Callithrix jacchus: one gene and its partners. The protein of the gene in region 2 interacts with the protein of the main gene of each other region in a pairwise test. Links are inferred from orthologs where the notes say so. Each region holds a gene or a part of one and is shown on either strand. Other genes may lie near its edges.

The links.
Region 1: the proteins of FAM118A (region 2) and LNX1 interact in binary tests that used the Homo sapiens proteins (3 or more experiments, as listed by UniProt). The link is inferred for Callithrix jacchus from reciprocal best matches to the Homo sapiens genes FAM118A and LNX1.
Region 3: the proteins of FAM118A (region 2) and ATOX1 interact in binary tests that used the Homo sapiens proteins (3 or more experiments, as listed by UniProt). The two-hybrid records come from large-scale screens. The link is inferred for Callithrix jacchus from reciprocal best matches to the Homo sapiens genes FAM118A and ATOX1.
Region 4: the proteins of FAM118A (region 2) and WDR4 interact in binary tests that used the Homo sapiens proteins (3 or more experiments, as listed by UniProt). The two-hybrid records come from large-scale screens. The link is inferred for Callithrix jacchus from reciprocal best matches to the Homo sapiens genes FAM118A and WDR4.
Region 5: the proteins of FAM118A (region 2) and MOB3C interact in binary tests that used the Homo sapiens proteins (3 or more experiments, as listed by UniProt). The link is inferred for Callithrix jacchus from reciprocal best matches to the Homo sapiens genes FAM118A and MOB3C.

Annotation. Positions count from the first base shown.
Region 1 is NC_133504.1:143,227,759-143,231,271, forward strand, and holds part of LNX1 (E3 ubiquitin-protein ligase LNX), read left to right. Parts: intron 1-1,310; coding exon 1,311-1,488; intron 1,489-3,028; coding exon 3,029-3,257; intron 3,258-3,513.
Region 2 is NC_133502.1:214,651,445-214,654,957, forward strand, and holds part of FAM118A (protein FAM118A), read right to left. Parts: intron 2,174-3,513; coding exon 1,952-2,173; intron 1-1,951.
Region 3 is NC_133503.1:50,706,599-50,710,726, forward strand, and holds the start of ATOX1 (copper transport protein ATOX1), read right to left. Parts: upstream 2,812-4,128; 5' UTR 2,724-2,811; coding exon 2,718-2,723; intron 1-2,717. UniProt on the Homo sapiens protein: Binds and deliver cytosolic copper to the copper ATPase proteins. May be important in cellular antioxidant defense.
Region 4 is NC_133522.1:48,644,296-48,648,502, forward strand, and holds the start of WDR4 (tRNA (guanine-N(7)-)-methyltransferase non-catalytic subunit WDR4), read right to left. Parts: upstream 2,811-4,207; 5' UTR 2,753-2,810; coding exon 2,664-2,752; intron 140-2,663; coding exon 77-139; intron 1-76. UniProt on the Homo sapiens protein: Non-catalytic component of the METTL1-WDR4 methyltransferase complex required for the formation of N(7)-methylguanine in a subset of RNA species, such as tRNAs, mRNAs and microRNAs (miRNAs).
Region 5 is NC_133508.1:83,363,050-83,367,002, forward strand, and holds the start of MOB3C (MOB kinase activator 3C), read right to left. Parts: upstream 2,811-3,953; 5' UTR 2,515-2,810; intron 1-2,514. UniProt on the Homo sapiens protein: May regulate the activity of kinases.

The DNA of each region.
Region 1 (3,513 bases), on a different chromosome or scaffold from region 2:
TCTTATAGTTTGACAAATACTCAGGTACCCATGGTGTTTTTAATTAGCCTAAGCTATTTTATCATAAATTATGTTTTTGAACATTGGGGAACATTCTAAGGTGTCCAAAGTAAGGTGAGGAGAGTGGAGAGAAAAGATAGATAGGCTGGGCACAGCGGCTCATGCCTGTAATCCCAACACTTTGGGAGGCTGAGGTGGGTGGATCACCTGGGGTCGGGAGTTCAAGACCAACCTGACCGACATGGAGAAACTCCATCTCTAGTAAAAAAATACAAATTTTGCCCGGCATGGTGGCGCATGCCTGTAATCCCAGCTACTTGGGAGGCTGAGGCAGAAGAATCACTTGAACCCAGGAGGCAGAGGTTGCAGTGAGCTGAGATTGTGCCATTGCACTCCAGCCTGGGCAACAAGAGCAAAACTTTGTCTCAAACAACAACAACAACAGATAAATAGAAAAGTCATCTCTATCATACATAACTCTTCTTCTCTCCAGCCAAAGTCAGGCAACCCTGGGTGTCTGAGGCTTTCACAGATGGTTTTTCCCCATTGCCAATGTTGGTCTCTTTCTGGTTGAGAAAGAAAATGGTTATGGACTTTGGTTCATGAGACACAGGACACATGGGCATGTGTCGTATTCGTGGCATTTCAGCCACTGCATGCAGCCCCTCAGTGCACAACTACACATCTCTTGCACTACAGGCAAGGCTGTCTGGTAAGCACTGAGCAGGTGTGAAAGAAGACTCTATAAAATATGGTTACTTTTTTTAACTTAGAAAAGTTCTCGATACTCATAAATGTTTTTGAAATGCTGACTCACTACTATCAGAAATAAATGGCTGACTTGAGAAATTTTGGGTGCAGTTCACTCTGTGTGTTTAAGATTCCTCCATGGCCAGGTGCAGGGCTCACACTTGTAATCCCAGCACTTTGGGAGGCCAAGGCGCCAGGAGTTCATGACCAGCCTGGACAACAAAGCATGACTTTGTCTCTACCAAAAAAATTTTTAGAAATCTCTTTTTCCAGGGGTTTCCAACCTGTTCCTCCCTCCATTTTAACTCTTTCCTTTTGAAATGTAAACTTTATCTGAGTTAAGCTATAGAATTTGTGACCATGTAACCCTATTATTTTTGGGGTGTGGATAAGGTGAGGGTTCTTTCCACGTGTCTTTCTCTGTCATTTCAAGAACCACCATCATATTTATGCAGCTTTGGTAGTTTTGCATGTAGAAAAAATACCCACTTTGCATTTTCTACATGCAAAAACTACCAAAGTTGTGTATTCATGTGCGGTTTTTCTGTCTGTGCCTTCAGCCCCTCCATCCTACAATTACTTGTCACGAGAAGGTGGTAGATATCCGAAAAGATCCCAGCGAATCTCTCGGCATGACCGTCGCAGGGGGAGCATCACACAGAGAATGGGATTTGCCCATCTATGTCATCAGTGTTGAGCCTGGAGGAGTCATAAGCAGAGATGGAAGAATAAAAACAGGTAAAAAGTAAAGGGGTTTTAAAGGCACCGGGGTGTCAGGGTATTAAGAGAAATTAATAGCTCATTGTGTTAGGCAACCATTTTCAAAATTAATGAGAGAATGTGGGAGTGATCAGCCAGGACTTTTGCTACCCATTGACCATGATTGGTTTGAGTATACTTACGAGACCAGGTTCCACTCTTCTCAGTCAACCCACCAAAGAACCACTTAGAATGAGTGGAACTCAATTATTACTTGCAAGTAAAGCTAGAATCTCCAAACTGTTCCAGGAATTAATAGAGAACTCTACGGTTATGAGCAAGTTGCCTCTATTAAATGGCATAATTTAGTTCCATTCATTCTAAGTGGTTCTTTGGTGGGTTGATCCAGTGATCAAACATGAATTATTCCATTATATGGGATAGATAGAGAACGCCATTTGATAGATTTGATTCAATGAATACTCATAAGTGAAAGTATCATGCTAGATTTCACTACTTTAAGCTCACGTGTTCTGGCCTACTTTGAGTAAATAAAGGAAGGTGATATCAAATTTGCCTCTACAAATATGTATCCTTAATAATATTGTCCATTCATACAAGAGGGTAGCTCAGATTAATGAGGAATTATACCATTTAAAAGTCCAGATTCAAGAGAGAAACTGTAGTTTCCCAAGTACAGTAGCTGAGTCTGAGGAGCTATCGGGAGATGGTATCTTAAGAGATTTAGTCAGCTGGCTGAAAGATGCTTCTTTTGGGTCAGAAAGGACTCAAGGCCTTTCTCTCCTCCTGTCTTTTTGCTCTTGCTACGATTATTCTGTATTAGAAAGATGATAAGCAAAGGGGGACACAGAAAACAAGATGGAGACAAAAGATTAGAAAGTGGAAATAGGGGAGATGTATATTTTAGTTTTTTCTGCAAAACACCTGGGTGGAGAATGATGAAGCCAAACAAAGTTGCTTGTCAGAATGACTTGTTAGCAAAACATGAGCTAGAGGATTATATGATCTGTATGGAAATGATCCCCCACTTGGTAGGTGCTTAACCAGTAGTAGCTGTTTCACCTTGACAATGAAAATGTTCTCCTTTAAGAGTGCAGCTCCAAGACTCCTCTGCCACACACTCTCATGGGTAGTTTCTTATTCATTCAATCCATATTTACTGGATGCTTTCTACCTGCCAAGCTCTGTGCAAATGCTGGAGCTTTTGCCAAATGTTTTTATGCTAAAAACAAGAAACAAAGGAGTGAAAAAGTAGGTTTTCTTTCATTAAATAGTGAACAGGGCTAATTTTCCTCTCTCCCTTCCTTCCTTCAGCAAGAGCTAAACACTGATAGGTGTGTTTTAGAAAACCCCAAACAAGTCTTAAAGCACTTCGGAATGCACACAGTGTTTACCATTTGCTATGTGAGCACCCAGCCTCCCATCAGCAAAGAAAACCTTTGCCCTCTCTGCATCCCTGTATCCCTGCATCCCAGTCGGCCCCTACCTCCTTGCACTTTAAGCGGAAGTCCTTGTTCATGCTCTCACTAAAGGTAGCTTCTACTTCTCTGGCCATCAGGTGACATTTTGTTGAATGTGAATGGGGTCGAACTGACAGAGGTCAGCCGGAGTGAGGCAGTGGGATTGTTGAAAAGAACATCCTCCTCGATAGTACTCAAAGCTTTGGAAGTCAAAGAGCGTGAGCCCCACGAGGACTGCGGCAGCCCAGCAGCCCTGGATTCTAACCACAACATGGCCCCACCCAGTGACTGGTCCCCATCCTGGGTCATGTGGCTGGAATTACCACGGTAAGTCCCAATGCAACATCCCTGTTAGGGGCGTGAGAGGAAACAGTTACATTTCTTAAACCACACTTTTACTTTCTAGGGCTGATTCATGGCACTAGCATCTTAATGAGACCCAATCTTGGTTGTGGGACTGTAAAATAAGTCTCTCTTCCTATTCGTAACAGAAAATGCATGTGGGCATTCTGGGGCAAGGATGAAAGCCTGGATGTGGAAACACTGTTAGGTGTTCAGGTTGAGGCGCTCACAGGGCTGCCAT
Region 2 (3,513 bases):
GAATGGCTAAGCATGTTCCTTTCCGTTCAATATAAAGATGCCCAGCAGGTCAATGCCCAGTCATCTTCACTCCATGGCCCACACAGCAGCAGGCAGAATGGACACAAACACCAACAGCCCCGCTGCCATCACTGGGCGCTGAGCCAGCTGGCAGTTCTGTTTATGCAACCGGCCATTCATTTCCAGACACTGACCACAACAAGCCTCAGCAGAGGGGACCGTGTGGCTCAGACACAGAGCGCAGGTGTCTGCCCCAAGGCACTGCTGGCAGGAGTGGATGCCCGTCCCGGGAGGGCGCCGCACCGGGCACAAGGGGACCGGGGCTGCAGCTGAGCCCAGCCCCTGCACTGACGCTGAGACGACATCTCTGCGTAACTCAGTTTCTTTGTCCAGAGCAGGGCCAGGGCCTTCTCTCACAAGTCAGCCCAGACAACATAAGCACACGCACAAAGGTCCCAAGCACATCACAAAAGAAATGGTCACAACGAAACTATGCTCAACCTTAATACAAGAAATCAATGTTTAAACTCTTCACCTATCAAATGGACAAAGTTTATTTCATTTTGTTTTTAATAACACCACGTGTTGGCAAGATACAGGAAATGGGTACTCCCGTACACAGCCACTGGGAAGGCAGCTGGTACTTTCTGGAAAACAATTTGGTAATTTACATCATCAGTCTTTAAAATACTCATAGCTTTTGACCACAAAACTCTTCTAGGAATTGATCTTGAAAACAGAGGGACATAAAAGTCTAAGGACTTTGTGGTGTTATAACTGATAGAATTTGGACATTCACCTTACCCGGATTTCATGCTGAATTGTAATCCCCAGTGCTGGAGGCGTGGCCTGGAGGAGGTGCTTGGACCACAGGGCCGGATCACCCCCCACGGCTTAGTGCCATTTTCGTGATAGTGACTTCTTGAGAGATCCGATCATTTAAAGGTGTGTGCCACCTCCCTGCCACCACCCGCTGTGGCCATGTGACACGCCTACTCCCACTTTGCCTTCTGCCACTGCTGGAAACTTCCTGAGGCCTCCCTGAAGCAGATGCTGCTATGCTTCCTATACAGCCTGTGGAATGCGGAGCCAATTAAAGCTCCTTTCTTTATATATTACCCTGTCTCAGGTATTTTTTTCTTTTGCTTTGTGAGACACAGCCTCGCCCTGTTGCCCACCCTGGTGTGCAGTGATCTCGGCTCACTGCAATCTCCACCTCCCAGTTCAAGCAATTCTCCTGCCTCAGCCTCCCAGGTAGCTGGGATTATAGGCGTGCACCACCATGCCCAGCTAATTTTTGTATTTTTAGTAAAGACGGGGTTTTGCCATGTTGGCCAGGCTGGCGTTGACCTCTTGGACTGAAGGGATCCACCCACCTTAGCCTCACAAAGTGCTGGGATTACAGGCCTGAGCAACCACGGCCCGCCTCAGCTCTTTCTTATACAGCAGTATAAGAATGGCCTAAATTACGCTATGAGCTACGATTGTGCCGCTGCACTCCAGTCTGAGCAACACAGCAAGACCCTATCTCTGAAAATAAAAAATAAAAGCAGGAAATATGAAGTCTTGGGATGCACAGAACACTGCCCCATCATTTCCCACCTGCCCTGGGGAGAGGCCAGCTCAGACTTTTAAGTCCTAGTATCTTGTTTTCCTATGGAGCACAGTATTCCAGAGGCTGCCAGTGTGCCACCTTCCATTATTACTTTTTTTTTTTTTAGGATAAAGGGTCTCTCTGTCACCCAGGCTGGCTGGAATACAATGGCATGATCATAGCTCATTTCAGCCTGGAACTCCTGGGCTCAAGCAATCCTCCCAACCTCGGCCTCCCCAGTAGCTAGGACTGCAGGCAGACGCCACCACACCTGGATCCTCTAGTATTAATTCACACTGCGATAAAGTGAAAGGTGCTTCCACACACTCACAGCCCACCCGTGCCCCCAGCCCATACCTTGGTCTTGTCCTTCAAGTCCAGAGACTCCATGGGCTTGTTCTGTTGCTGGCCAAAGATCTCCAGCAGGTTGTCGTAGTTGGTGGTCAGGACCATGGTGCCCCTCTCCATCAGGCTGAGGATCGACTGCAGCACCAGAGGGCTCTGGATGTGCTGCTCCAGGTTGTCAAACACCTCCATCAGGCAGTCCTGGAAGAAGCTGGGCTTGGTGTCGCCTGTGCGCTACGGAAAGGTGGAATGAGAGTTACAGAAACATCAGCCTCAACAACTGCTCAGCAGGTAAGCAGGCTGTGTTCTGGGTGCCAGAGACACAGCAGCTGGAAACAAAGAAAAGGAGGCTTCACAGAATGCATTACAACTCCAGACCAGGGGAAAGGCAATGCACACATGTATAGCACGCCACCAGTGACGCTGCCATGGGAAAGCACAGCAGAAACGGGCAGGCGCTGTGGGGTGAGGGTGGACAGGACCAGGGCACCAGGGAAGCCTCTCTGAGAAGGCGAAGGCTGAGCAGAGGCCTGAGGAGTTGAGGCCTCCTGGAGAATGTTCTAAGCAGAGGGAAAAGCAAGGGCCACAGCACGGAGGTCACGGCTCAGGTATGCCCAAGGCCAGCCAGAGGCCACTGAGGCAGGAGAGGAGTGAGGGGAAGTGTCAGCAGCAGAACCTGATGACCTGGGCCTTTAAGACCACAGTAAAGACTCTGGCTTTTCCTGAGAGCTGCAGAGTCCAGCTTTCTCTTTCTTGGTGGTGTACGAAACTCTGTGTCTTGATGGCACCTTCAATGAAGTGGGAGGCAGTGTTTTTCTTTTTTTCTGAGATAGGGTCATGCTTTGCCGCTCAGGCTGGAGCACAGTGGTGCCAGGATAGTTCACTGCAGCCTCCAAGTCCTGGGCGCCAGCGAGCTTCCCACCTCAGCCTCCCAAGTAGCTGGGACTACAGGTGCCACTACCACACCCAGCTCATTTTCTTTCCTTAAAAATTTATTTTTTAATTTTTAAATTTTATATATATATATTTTTTTGAGCCAGTCTCACTCTGTCACCCAGGGTGGAGTGCAGTGAGTGGCACAGTCATGGCCCACTGCAGTCTTGACCTCCCAGGCTCAAGTGATCCTCCCACCTCAGCCTCCCAAGTAGCTGGGACTACAGGTGCACACCGTTAACACCTAGCTAACTTTTAAAAAAGGTTTTTTTTGAGACAGAGTCTGGCTCTGTCGCCCAGGATGGAGTGTCGTGGCATGATCTCGGCTCACTGTAACCTCCCCACCTGGGTTCAAGCAATTCTCCTGCCTCAGCCTCCCAAGTAGCTGGGATTACAGGTGTGCACCACCACACGCAGCTAATTTTTGTATTTTCAGTAGAGACGGAGTTTCACCAAATTGGCCTGGGTGCTCTCAAACTCCTGACCTCAGGTGATCCACCTGCCTCAGCCTCCCAAAGTACTGGGATTACAGGCGTGAGCCACTGTACCCAGCCTAAAATTTTTAAAATTTTTTTGTAGAGACAAGGTGTTCCTACGTTGCCTCGGCTCATCTTGAACTCCTGCCCTCAAGTGATCTGCCC
Region 3 (4,128 bases), on a different chromosome or scaffold from region 2:
CCTCGGCTCACTGCAACCTCCGCCTCCCGGGTTCAAGTGATTCACCTGCCTCCTGAGTAGCTGGGATTACAGGTGCACGCCACCACGCCCAGCTAATTTTTGCATTTTTAGTGGAGACAGGCTTTCACCATGTTGGTCTGGCTGGTCTCAAACTCCTGACCTTGTCATGCTCCTTCTGCCCCGGCCTCCCAAGGAACAATTCTTTAATAGAATCTCAGAATTGGGAGGGTGGGGAAGAGGGAGTCATCTTGTCCAGACTGTCTCCCCGAGAAGAGAAATTCTTTTTCAAATATTCAGGATATTCAATCCTTGAACACGCTAATGTTTACTAATATTAGTATGTGAATGTATACTATGTGCTAGGCATTGTTCTAAACACTCTACATGCATTATCTTAATTGTCACAACAATCTCATGAGGCAGGTACTAGTATTATCCCTTCTTGACAGATGAGAAAACAGGTTTTGGAGTTAGTTCACCATTCGCAGTGATTCAGCTAGGGAGTAGGAACTGAATTGGACATAGTCAGTCTCTAAAACCTCAATGCTTAACCAGTGAGATCTTGTTAAAATGGGATTGAACACTGCCTGCCTATAGTTCTTTTTCTTTCTTTGAGACAGGGTTTCTCTTTCACTTTGTCACCCAGGCTGGAATACAGTGGCATGATCATGGCTCACTGCAGTCTCAACCTCCCCAGCTCCAGCAATCCTGCCACCTTAGCCTCCCAAGTAGCTGTGACTATAGGCACAGGCCACCACATCCAGCTCATTTTTGGTATTTTTTGAGGAGACAGGGTTTTGTCATGTTGCCAAGTTGGTCTCAAACTCCTGCATTAAAGTGATCTGCCCACCTGGGCCTCCCAAAGTGCTGGGATTACAGGCATTGAGTCACTGTGCCTGGCTTTATCTGCCTATAGTTCTAGCCTATTTGTCCTGCGTCTACACAGGAGCTACCGTTTCTTGGGGACTAGATATGTCAGTGGCTGGGTGACATGTTTTACTGGCATTTTTCCAATTAATACTAACAACAGTCCTGTGAACTTAAAGTTTTTGTCCCTATCTTACAGATGAGGAAATCAAGGCAGTGAGGTAAAGCAACTTGCCTGAGGTCACCCAGTTGGCAAGCTGGGGGCACAGATTTTCAGAGGTTTCTGGGATTCCAAACCCTGTGCTCTCAGACATTTGAGAAAACTCTCAGGTAACACACTCTTCCAATTATACACACACACACACACACACACATATATACACATACACACACACATATATATATTTTCTTCCCTTTCCAGTTTTGAGGCAGTCCCTTGACTAACACCCTCCTTCCTTCAGCTGTTCATCTAGTGAGTGGTACATGGTGCCAAGTGCCCTCCTCATTCCCATCATCTGCTCCAGAGGGTCTTTTGTTTGTCAAAATCCACAGAAAAATACACAGAATACAGTGATCATCAAGCTGGCCTTTTCCTCATTGCCACCCCCCACCAAAAAACCTGGTGGCCTCACTCTCCCAGCCCCAGGGCAATTAATACTGTCTTCTACCATTGCCTCAGGCCAATTTGCTCAACTGGTAGGGCTGATTCTATCAGATTCCTTGTCCATACTTTGTTGTTGGAGGATTTGTCTCAAGGCACCTGGCAAGGCTCAAGGGAAATGACACCTGAGACATTTGTGGCTTTGCCCAGGGGACCTCAGAGTCACCTGCCAGCTCCCAAAAGACAGGCTGCTAAGATAGATTGCATCTGTGAGATACTTCTGGGTATCCACCTGACCCAAAGCCATGAGTTAGGCACCCTGAAGAAAATGCAAAACACCACATGACCCTAACCAAGATGTAACTGAGATCAGAGCTTCTTCCCAAGCCGGTGTGACCGCTTTTGCCAGGCCCCTCCCATGTGACCAGGCTGGAGAGATGGGAAGCCTAAGGATAAGTTGGCTCTGCCAACTTCAACACGACCTGGAATAAGTTGCTGGGCTTTTTATATTTTCATCTGCCAAAGGCCTCAATTCTTTTTATAAAAAATGAGGCCATGAGCAGCAAGGTATGTGTGATAAGACTGAGTGATCTGCAAAGGCAGGCTAAGACTGACTTCCCAGACTCTGCCATTGAGCAACTGGTGACTTGGCGGGGGGTTCCTGAACCTCTTTGGGGCTTATGGGTTCAGGCTGAGAAAGTGTCTCCATTCAGGGTCCCCCACAGCTGACCTGGAAAGTAGGCCAGAGTGGGCAGGGAAATGAAGAAAAGCATAAACCTCTGAAAACCTGCCAGGTCCGTGAGGCAATAACCGGGTCCACCCCTTGACCAGAGCCTCCCCACCACCCTCATTCAGGCCAGCTCCGCGGGCAGGGCAGCCAGGAGGAAGGCTCAGGAACTAGGCGTCTCAGTTCCTGCCCGTCTGTAACCTCCCGCCTCCTGCTAAGCGACCCCCTGCCCTCTCTCGGGGTCTGTTTCTCCGTGTACGCAGGGAAGGCGTGGGCTTGTCGCCCCCTGGAGGCCTTCTAGCTCCGACGTTTTGAAGCCTGGCTCCTAGATTAAACTCCCTTCGGATTCCATTTTCTGGAGGGTCGCAAAAGCTGGGGGCTGGGTGGGGTAAGCCGGGGGACAATAGCAGCTCCAGTCGAGGCCTGAGCCCTTCAAGAGGAGCATCCAGCCAAACGGCTGTGCAGCCAAGGTGCAAGCCGGGGACTGCAAGTCTGCGCGGCGGGGACAGCGTAGCCACTCACCGGCATGACTGAGGCAGCGGCGGTGCGGCAGCGGTGCGGCGGCGGTAAGGCGGCAGTGGCAGCAGCGCCTCTCTGGGCTCGGAGGGCGGGTTCCGCTGCGCATCCGAGAGTGCGCGTTGAAAGCCCGGTCCCGGAGGCCCCGCCCCCTCTGGGCCGGATCGCAGCCAGACGCACCGCCTCCTTCCCTTTGCCTGAGCCCGTGGTCACCCTGCCTGGACGGAAAGAGGAGGTGAGAGGGGCGCTGCGCTGGCCTCCATCGACCGTCGGCCTTTTTCAAAACGTCTACTTCGGGTCAAGCTTGTGTTAGGAAATACAAGAAGGTCACTGCCTTGACCAGGACTGATCCATCCATCCCTAAAAGGACAGTGTCTCTCATTTATTCACCCAGTCAGTATTTATTGAGCGCCAGCTATCTAGGACACAGCAGTGGAAAAGACGTAGCAGGATGCCGCGAAGGATGCAGGCCGTGATAGTGCAGGGTTAGAGGAACTGTCGTGGCAGCGGAGGCAGGGCCTGACTGGAGTGGGGTGGGGGCATGGTGGTGCACGCCTGTAGTCCCAGCTACTCGGGAGGCTGAGGCAGGAGAATTGCCTGAACCCAGGAGGCGGAGGTTGAGGTGAGCCGAGATCGCGCCATTGCCCTCCAGCCTGGGTAACAAGAGCGAAACTCCGTCTCAAAAAACAAAAAACAAAAAAACTTGGATGCCTCATTTTCAAAACCTCCTGTAAGGCTGGGTGAAGTGGCTCATACCTGTAGTCCCAGCACTTTGGGAGGTTGAGGTGGGAGGATGGCTTGAGCCCAGAGTTTGAGACCAGTCTGAGCAACACAGTGATACCTTATCTCTACAAAATTTTAAAAAATTAGCCGGGCTTGGTGATACATACCTGTGGTCCCAGCTACTTGGGAAGCTGAGGTGGGAGGATCACTTGAGCCCAGAAGGTTAAGCCTGAAGTAAGCTGTGATCTTGCTAGTGCACTTCAGCCTGGATGACAGAGCAAGACCCTGTCTCAAAAACAAGAAAGCCCCCCAAAACACCCCTTTCATATACCTACCTGCAAGTGCTAATGTATTACATCCCTTTTGTTTTAAAGATCAAAATTTCTATATTATAGTTCCTCATATCATGATTAAAATCTACTTAACACTAATTAAAATAATACAGACATGTTTTAAAAAAATCACACAGCCAGGCACGGTGGCTCACACCTGTAATCCCAGCACTTTGAGGCTGAGGCAGGAGCACTGCTTGAGGCCAGGAGTTTGACATCAACCTGGTAAAAAAGTGAGACCCTGTCTGTACAAAAAAGATTAGCTATGTACGATGATGGATGCATGCCTATAGCTACTGGGAAGGCTGAGGCTAGAGAACTGCTTGAGCCCAACAGTTCGGGTTGCAGTGAACTATAATTGT
Region 4 (4,207 bases), on a different chromosome or scaffold from region 2:
CAGCAAGTAAGACAACAATTGCTTCTTAGACCCTCTGGTCCCGTTATCAAACCATTAAATCAGGCCCACATCTCACCCTTTATTTTCTTGTGGCTTCTGTTCTGCAGCACTGCAGTCATAGATGAAGGGGCCGTCATCACTAAAGGTAAATAACAATGATTTTAAAAGGCGTCATCATTAAAGAGAAGTAACAATGATTTTTTTTTAATTTAGAATAATCTTTTATTCACAATACTTTTTTTTTAAATGATTACACTTTAAGTTCTGGGGTATATGTGCAGAACATGCAGGTCTGTTACATACGTATATACGTGCCATGGTGGCTTGCTGTCCCCATCGATCTGTCATCTACATAAGGTACTTCTCTCCTAATGCTACCCCTCCCCTAGTCCCCACCCCCCAAAAATTATGTTTTTATAATTTTTTTTGAGACAGTCTCACTCTGTCACCCAGGCTGGAGTGCAATGGTGCAATCTCAGCTCACTGAAACCTCCACTTCCCGGGTTCAAGTGACTCTCCCGCCTCAGCCTCCCGAGTAGCTGGGATTACAGGCGCCCACCACCATGTCCAGCTAATTTTTTGTATTTTTAGTAGAGATGGGGTTTCACTATACTGGCCAGGCTGATCTCGAACTCCTGACCTAAGGCGATCCACCTGCCTCCATTTCCCAAAGTGCTGGGATTATAGGCATCAGCCACTGTGTCCAGCAACAATGATTTTTAAAGGAGAACGTTGTTTAAAAAAAAAAAAAAAAAAAAAAGATTTTTTTTCTCTGTAGATCAAAAAATATTTGCATATTCATTAAAGGTCTTATCCATGACAAGAAAACTGTCTAGATATAATGTTTCAGGGAACAGTTAACAACTTTAGTTGCTTAATCTCTTATTGGAGTATATCATATACAACCCAATAGTTCTGTGGGAAAAAAAAGTCCAGGCCAGGCGGGTGGCTCACGCTTGTCGTCCCAGCACTTTGGGAGGTTGAGGTGGGTGGCTCACGAGGTGAAGAGTTCAAGACCAGCCTGACCAAGATGGTGAAACCCTGTCTCTACTAAAAATACAAAAATTAGCCAGGCGCAGTGGTGGGTGCCTGTAATTACAGCTGCTCAGGAGACTGAGGCAGGAGAATCGCTCGGGAGACTGAGGCAGGAAAATCACTTGAACCCGCGTGGCAGTGGTTGCAGTGAGCCAAGATCCTGCCACCGCATTCCAGCCTGGGAGACAGAGTGAGACTGTCTCAGAAAAAAAAAAAAAAAAAAAAAAAATCAGTAAAACAAACGAGGGGTAAACACTCAACAGGAATTAATAACGTTATTCTTATGCTATTCCTTCAGGCACCAGAAAATCTAAGCGATGTTCTGATGCTGTTGAGTTTTCAGTGGGATTCTCTATACAAATTTCAAAGAGCCATTACCTATTCAGAAACGCATCTCACCTACCTGAAAATGTTCCCATGACTCCAAGCACTTACCAACATAACAATCACCCATCTTCCATACTGAATCTAAACTCTCTTCAGTTTATCCCATCCCCTACCCTGGCACGTAGCTTGTACTTATTTATAGCCTTTAAAGTGCACCAAAAAACTTTCCATATGGAACAGTGGACTTGTCTTCCAAGTCGGAAACTCCACCAGCCGCTAGAATTTCCTCAAAATGCGTAGACTGATGGTAAGCACATCATGTCTAACGCATCCACAGCTCACTCTGGGCAGGTATTAGACCGTGAGTCTCTAAAGCAACATTATCTTGGATACATGACAGGTTTCTGAGTACAATTTTTGTAAGACCTAATTTAACATCGAATTGGCTTTCTGAAAGCAAAGAATATAAGTACATCTGACAGACACAGCATCTGTTTCAAGTATTAAATCACAAACCACCTGGGAAAGAAAATGACGGCTGAAACTGACAACACTACTAATAGCTCCGAGAGTCCTAAGTCGGGACTGTCCCATCAACAAACATTTACTAATTTAAAAATCCCCGGCGTCGTCCTAGCACTGGTGATACAATAAGGATGGAGAATAAAATTACAGAAAGCAAAACTCGAGCCATGTGAAGGGTCGCTAGGGAGGGGCAGCTGCGAGCTCTACGTGCAGCCTCGGGTCTGTTGTGTAAGTGTCAGAGACGACCCGGGAGTCCTAAGGAGCAATTAAGGCCGGGTAGGTGGCTGCAGGCCGGGAAGAGGGGACAAGCACCCCTGCAAAGAGAGGGAGCCCGCTCGGGGGTCAGCGAGCTCGTCGTAAGCCCCGCCCCTCTCATCAGGGAAACCCGAGACCCCCTTCTTCCCAGGTCTTCACAGCGTATTCGGCCCGGCCTTGCCAAGCGGTCAGGATCCCCGCCGGCGCCGCCGAGACTGGAAGTGACCTGGCGCTAACCGGGCGAGAACACTGCAGACTCGCCGACTAGGGCGAGGAGCGCGCCGGGGCCTATGGGGCGCCGAAATCTAGGATCTCATGGTCTCTCCTAGATTGGCTTATCTCCCCACTCCCGGACACGCGGCCAGGTAGAGACAGCGGCGGAGGGCTCCTGGGCTGGAGCGGGGTTCCCCTGGGTCACCCCAGAGCAGGTGCGATCAGGCAGTGCGGGAGAAGCCGCGTAGTCAGGGCCCGGCGCGCGCCCGCAGCCTGGGCTCCCTGTGACAAGACCAAGGCCCCCTCACCTGCTTGCAGTGGAGGTGGCCAGGAATCGGCTGCCGCCCCGCACCACCAGCGTCTGCCCGCACAACGCCAGTCCCACAGAGCCCGCCATGTACCCGCCCGCCGCGCCGCCATACACATGTGCCACCCCAGAGCCTCTTCCTGTCCGCGGCCGCCGGTGACGTCACGCGTAGACGCCGAGAGATGACGTATCCCCCACGGAAGAGCCTGCCTTGCGCGTGCGCTGCAGGTGCTGTGACCGTCCTCCCGTTTGCGGTTGGTGGCCGTCGGTGTTTCGGGCTGGGCCGCTCACTCACCATGGCGATCTGACGGCGTGCACTTCGCGCGATTCCGAGTGCTTGCCTAATGTTCGTCCTTTCCTCCAGACGGGGATCTTTGTCCGCCGTAGCTGGAGAGACGTAGGACCTGATAGCTACTTGATGGCTGGTAAAAATGATCCTTCAAGAAGTGAATGAGGCCCGGCGCGGCGGCTCACACCTGTACTCCCTGCACTTTGGGAGACCTAGGCGGGCGGATCACCTGAGGTCGGGAGTTCGAGACCAGTCTGACCAACGTGGAGAAACCCCGTCCCGACTAAAAATACAAAATTACCCGGGCCTGGTAGCACACGCCTTAATCCCAGCCACTCGGGAGGCTGAGGCAGGAGAATCGCTTGAACCCAGAAGGCGGAGGTTGTGGTGAGCCGAGGTCATGCCATTGCACTCCAGCCTGGATGACAAGAGTGAGACTCCGTCTTAAAAAAAAAAAAAAAAAAAAAAAAAAAAGAAGTGAATGAGCTGGGAGCCGTTGTTCACACCTGTAATCCCAGCACTTTGGGAGGTCAAGGGAGGCAGATCACCTGAGGTCAGGAGTTCGAGACCAGCATGGTGAAGCCCTGTCTCTACTAGAAATAAAAATTAGCCGGGCGAAGTGGCGCGCGCCTGTAATCCCAGCTACTCAGGAGGCTGAGGCAGGAGAATCGCTTGAAGCCGGGAGGTGGAGGTTGCAGTGAGTTGAGATTGCCCCACTGCACTCCAGCCTGGGCAACAAAGCGAGACTGTCTCAAAAAAATAAAAATTAAAAAATAGTCCAAGATGTGGTCATGGGTGTGGGTGTCACATAGGTGGGGTCAAGTCTGAGGTTGCTGGAAGTAAGCCTGCTTAACCTGTGCACTTAGACAAGCCAAAAATGCCTTAAAATTTCCAAACAGGAGAGATATTTTCAACCCAAACTGTGATTGGTTTCCAGTGTTCCTCCCAAGATCCCCAAAAGCTTCTTCCAATCCCAACATCAGGCACAAAATCTAGGATCTCATTGTCTGTCCTAGATTGGCTTGTCCAGTGCAGCTCCTCTTGATCCAGAGACTTACAAACTAAAAAGATGCATTTTCTCTCCCATGCACTCAACATATGATGGGCCAGATAACCACAATGAATACCTCAACGTGAAAAAGAGAAGAGGAGGAGACAGAACAATCACGGTCCACAGCAATTCTGAAATAAAACTGGAAGATGTTTTCAGGCCCTAGGGGGGTAAGAAGTGTTCCTAAACCAGACCCAAGTTCTGC
Region 5 (3,953 bases), on a different chromosome or scaffold from region 2:
GCTGGGCGGCTTCTGAGTGTGGCTGCAAGCACTGGAGGAGGGGGAGGGCAGCAGGCCTACAAGGGCACTGCTTCCTCTCACAATGACTGGAGATCCTCCCCCACAAGCCAGTCTCTTCCAGCCCCAAATCTAACAAGCCACTGGCTCCTCCCCTTGCACCTGACACTCAGTAGACATTCCTAGAGCAACTACTATGTGCCTGGCACAGGGAGGTAGGAGAGTATAGTCAGATCTACCCAGCGGGGCCCATCTAGAGCTCAGGCAAATTTGCTTTGCCTTCTAGAATTTAAGGATCCCAGATTCAGAACAGACTTAGGGAGACAGTGATCAGGGCCCTAGGCTCAGAGGCAGGAATCCTGGGTTCCAGTTCCAGCTCTGTCACTGGCTTACCAGGTGACGCCTGTTATCACCATGGATTTGGTCCACCCAAGTCCTGGCTCACTCTGCTATAGCTAGGTTTCTAAGCCTGAGTCATCTCATCTCACCTGTGAATGTGTGAGCTACCAGGAAATGCAGACCCATGTACCTACAAAGACTAGAATTTAGTCACAAACTAAGCACTGCCCCTGCCCCCAGAATGAGCACTAAGGCTGAGTATAAGCTAAAATTGCATTCTGGTTCCAGGCTGACCTCTGACACCTGAGCTGGGGCGAGTGTGAGCCCTGACTTTAGCCTTTAGCTCTACCCTGAGGCTTGCATATGGCCAGGGAAAAAGCCTAGCCTTGACCTCTGACTGATGCTGGAGTACTGTCCTTTCTCACATCTCTGGTAACCCTGGGATAGAACTGGGGAAGGGAGGGTGGGAACCAGGTGACAACTGGGTAAAACCAAAGGCATGACACATATTGCAGGGAGGGTACTGGCAACAAGTCAAAGTAGCTGGGGAGATGTTTGAAGCAAAGGTCCTTCCTTGAACCCACAAAGGCAGGCCAGGATGGGGCACTCTAGTAAAATGAGAGCAGCCTGGAGAGTAGAAACAGGCCTTTCAGCAGGAACTTGCTCTTTTGAAAAAACCTCACAGATCTGAAAGGTCATCTCATCCAACCTGACTCTTCAACTTCTCACCCAAAGAAGTCTCCAGAGTGGGACCCGAGCTTCTAGAGCAAAAAGATTTCTGCACTTCACTTGCCATCTCCATTTTAAACTCTGCTTGGGACAAGTTATTCCAAAATCCCTTACACTGCAATTAGGTGGGGCTCCTCCCCACATCGCATGGCCCCCTTTACAATAGTTAGAAACAGTCCCCCATTCTGGCATTCACCTTGTCCTACCTTTCCTGCCCCACTTCCCACCTCCCACGCCAACCACCCTGGGCTTCTTCCTGATTCCTGAACACACCGCTACTCTCTTGCCTCTGGATGTTTTCTTATCCCTTCACCTGCCTGACCGCACATCCTCAGATTGGCTGCTACCTCCTCCCACAGCCTCCTCCTGAACTCGGATCTCCTCCTCCTTGGGTAGAGGCTGCTTTCGGTCATTGCAGTTTCCACTCCATCCCTACTCCCAGCTTAGGAAAAGGCCTGCCGCAAAGTCAGTATTTATGCTTTAAGGAAAGCTTAGACTCTAGAATCTTAGAGTTAAAATAGTCCTGAGAGATCAACTGGCCCAAATCACTTGTACAGATGGGGAAACTGAGGCCCAGATGGGGAAACTGAGGTCTAAAAACAGGACTTGAGGAGCCTGTGTTCACATAGCAAATTACAAGCAGAACTGGTAACTGGGATAAGTTGGGGCTTGGCTCATGACCAAGAGTAAAAGGCCATTTTCCTGCACTGGCTGGTCAATGGTCTGGTGGAGACAGATAGGAGGGGAGTGGAAGGACAGTGGAAGCATCTTTTCCACCAAACAGCCCAGCTTGCTTCCTGCCCCCAATATGCTGACTCCACACAGCAACTGGGATGTCCTGACCAATGAGCTAGTGTCCCACCTTACTCCTGTGAAACTTTCTCTTCCCTGGAAAATGTAAGCTCAGGGGTTGGGTGGAGGGCAGGTGCTCTTCTAGCCACAGGCATAACTCCCTTCAGTCCCACCTCCATGCCCTCACTGAGTTTCGGTCTGTCACAGAACGAACTCCTGTCTCCTCCCTAAACCACTGTGGTTCCCCCCACCCCCATTTCCCAAGGTTGGCTATCCTTTCACTCCTGTAGTGGCAGTGGCTTGTTCATTCCCTGGGTGGCATCTGGGCTTCTCAAATGAAGACAGCAGGGTGACCCTGCCTGTTTCTGACCTTTAGCTCTCTGACAGGCTACATCTACCTCTCCTTGGGCCTGACCCAGGATCTGGGACAGAGGATGGCCCTGGTTTGAACCCAGAATCCAGCCTGGGACGCTCTGCAGGACAGAGATCATAGATAAAAGTAGAGGCGAAGACTCCACGCTCTCACCCACGCCCATCCCCAAACCAGCTCCCAGGGCCAGGCAGGCCGTAGGACCCAGAGGATCCCGCCTGACATTTCCGCTCCCGAAGATAAGCCCCCCAACCTCTCCCCTCTGCCCCGTCCAACCCCAAACCCACCCCAACTTTCGAAGCTCTGAGCCTCGGACCCCAGCCCCAGGACAGCGGCCAGCCAGCCTCCGGGCGGGACTCGCCTCCGGACCGTGCCACGCCTGGACAACCGAAGAAATGAAAGTGGAAGCCAGGCGGGCGGGGTGCGCGGCAGGGCCGCGAGGGCACAGCGCACTCTCACGGGTCCTCCTCTGTCCGCGGGGTCACATTCCCGGCCACAGGGTCGCCTCCTCTTGCCAGTCCCGCCGTGCCTGTTCTCTCGCCGGTCTGCCTGTCCGTACGTCTCTCCTGCCGCCCTCCCGTCCGGGGCGACGCCAGCTCCGCCCCAGCCCCGCCACGCCGCTGCCACGGGGCGGGGAAAGGGGACTCCCCCCCACCCCAGTACACAGACTCACTCGCCCCCGCCTTCCCATAAAGTCCATATTGTGCTCCCAGCTTCCCCTTGGACAAGGACTGAGCTGCCCCCACTCTTGGTGCTTCCTTGGACCTCCACCAAGGAGGCAGCCTCAGGTTCCCAGACTGTAAAATGGGAAAAAGTTAGGCTCCTTCTGGAGTAGAAACAAGAGCTGCTAGATAGGGTGGTTCCTTCGCTCTCCTACAAGTGGGTCACATTTGTCCCGGGACCCAATAAGGGATAGGGGCTGTCCTATCCACTCCCATATCCTAGCTCCTTGGATAGGATTCAGAACCCACTTGAATGAATGAATGAGTGAGTGAGTGAGTGAGTGAGTGAAGGAATGAATGAACGCCTTGGGAATCAGGAGCGACTTGAGTCCATCACCCCTGTGGGACAGGCACAGAAGAGCGCTCAAATCACAGACTCCATCTCCTCAACCAGGGAGGGGACCTTGCTCAGGCTGGGCCAATTCTCCTTGCTCCTCACCGAGTCACCCCATTTCTTACCTCCAACATTTATCCCAGCTCTTCCATTTTAGAATACCTTCTTTCTTTCCTTCCTTCTGATCAAATTCAAACCACTCAAGATCTGATCTGCTCTCCCTACCACCTGGGTTCCTTCGAGGACAGACAGATATCCCACCAGCATTCAATGCACATTGTGGCCCCCAGGCCCAGGCCCAGTTGGCTGCTCTGTCTGGAATGGGAGGGAAGATTGGAGGCCTTCTACTGTAGGAAGCCCAAAGCAGACAGCTGAGCTGTAGAAGCCACTCTGGAGGAGTGGGAGGTAAACAGATGCAGGTAGGGGAGAGCTGGAGGCCAGAGGTGGACATTTACCATGGCACGCTGGACTGTCTTTGTGTTTGGAACTTCTGTTTGCTGATGAGAACATGCTAGATCATTAATCCAGATTATATCCTTTGCAGCAACATGGGTTGGAGCTGGAGGCCATTATCCCAAGCAGACTAACACAGGAATAGAAAACCAAATACTGCACATTCTCACTTATAAGTAGGAACTAAACAGTGAGAATACATGGATACTAGGAAGGG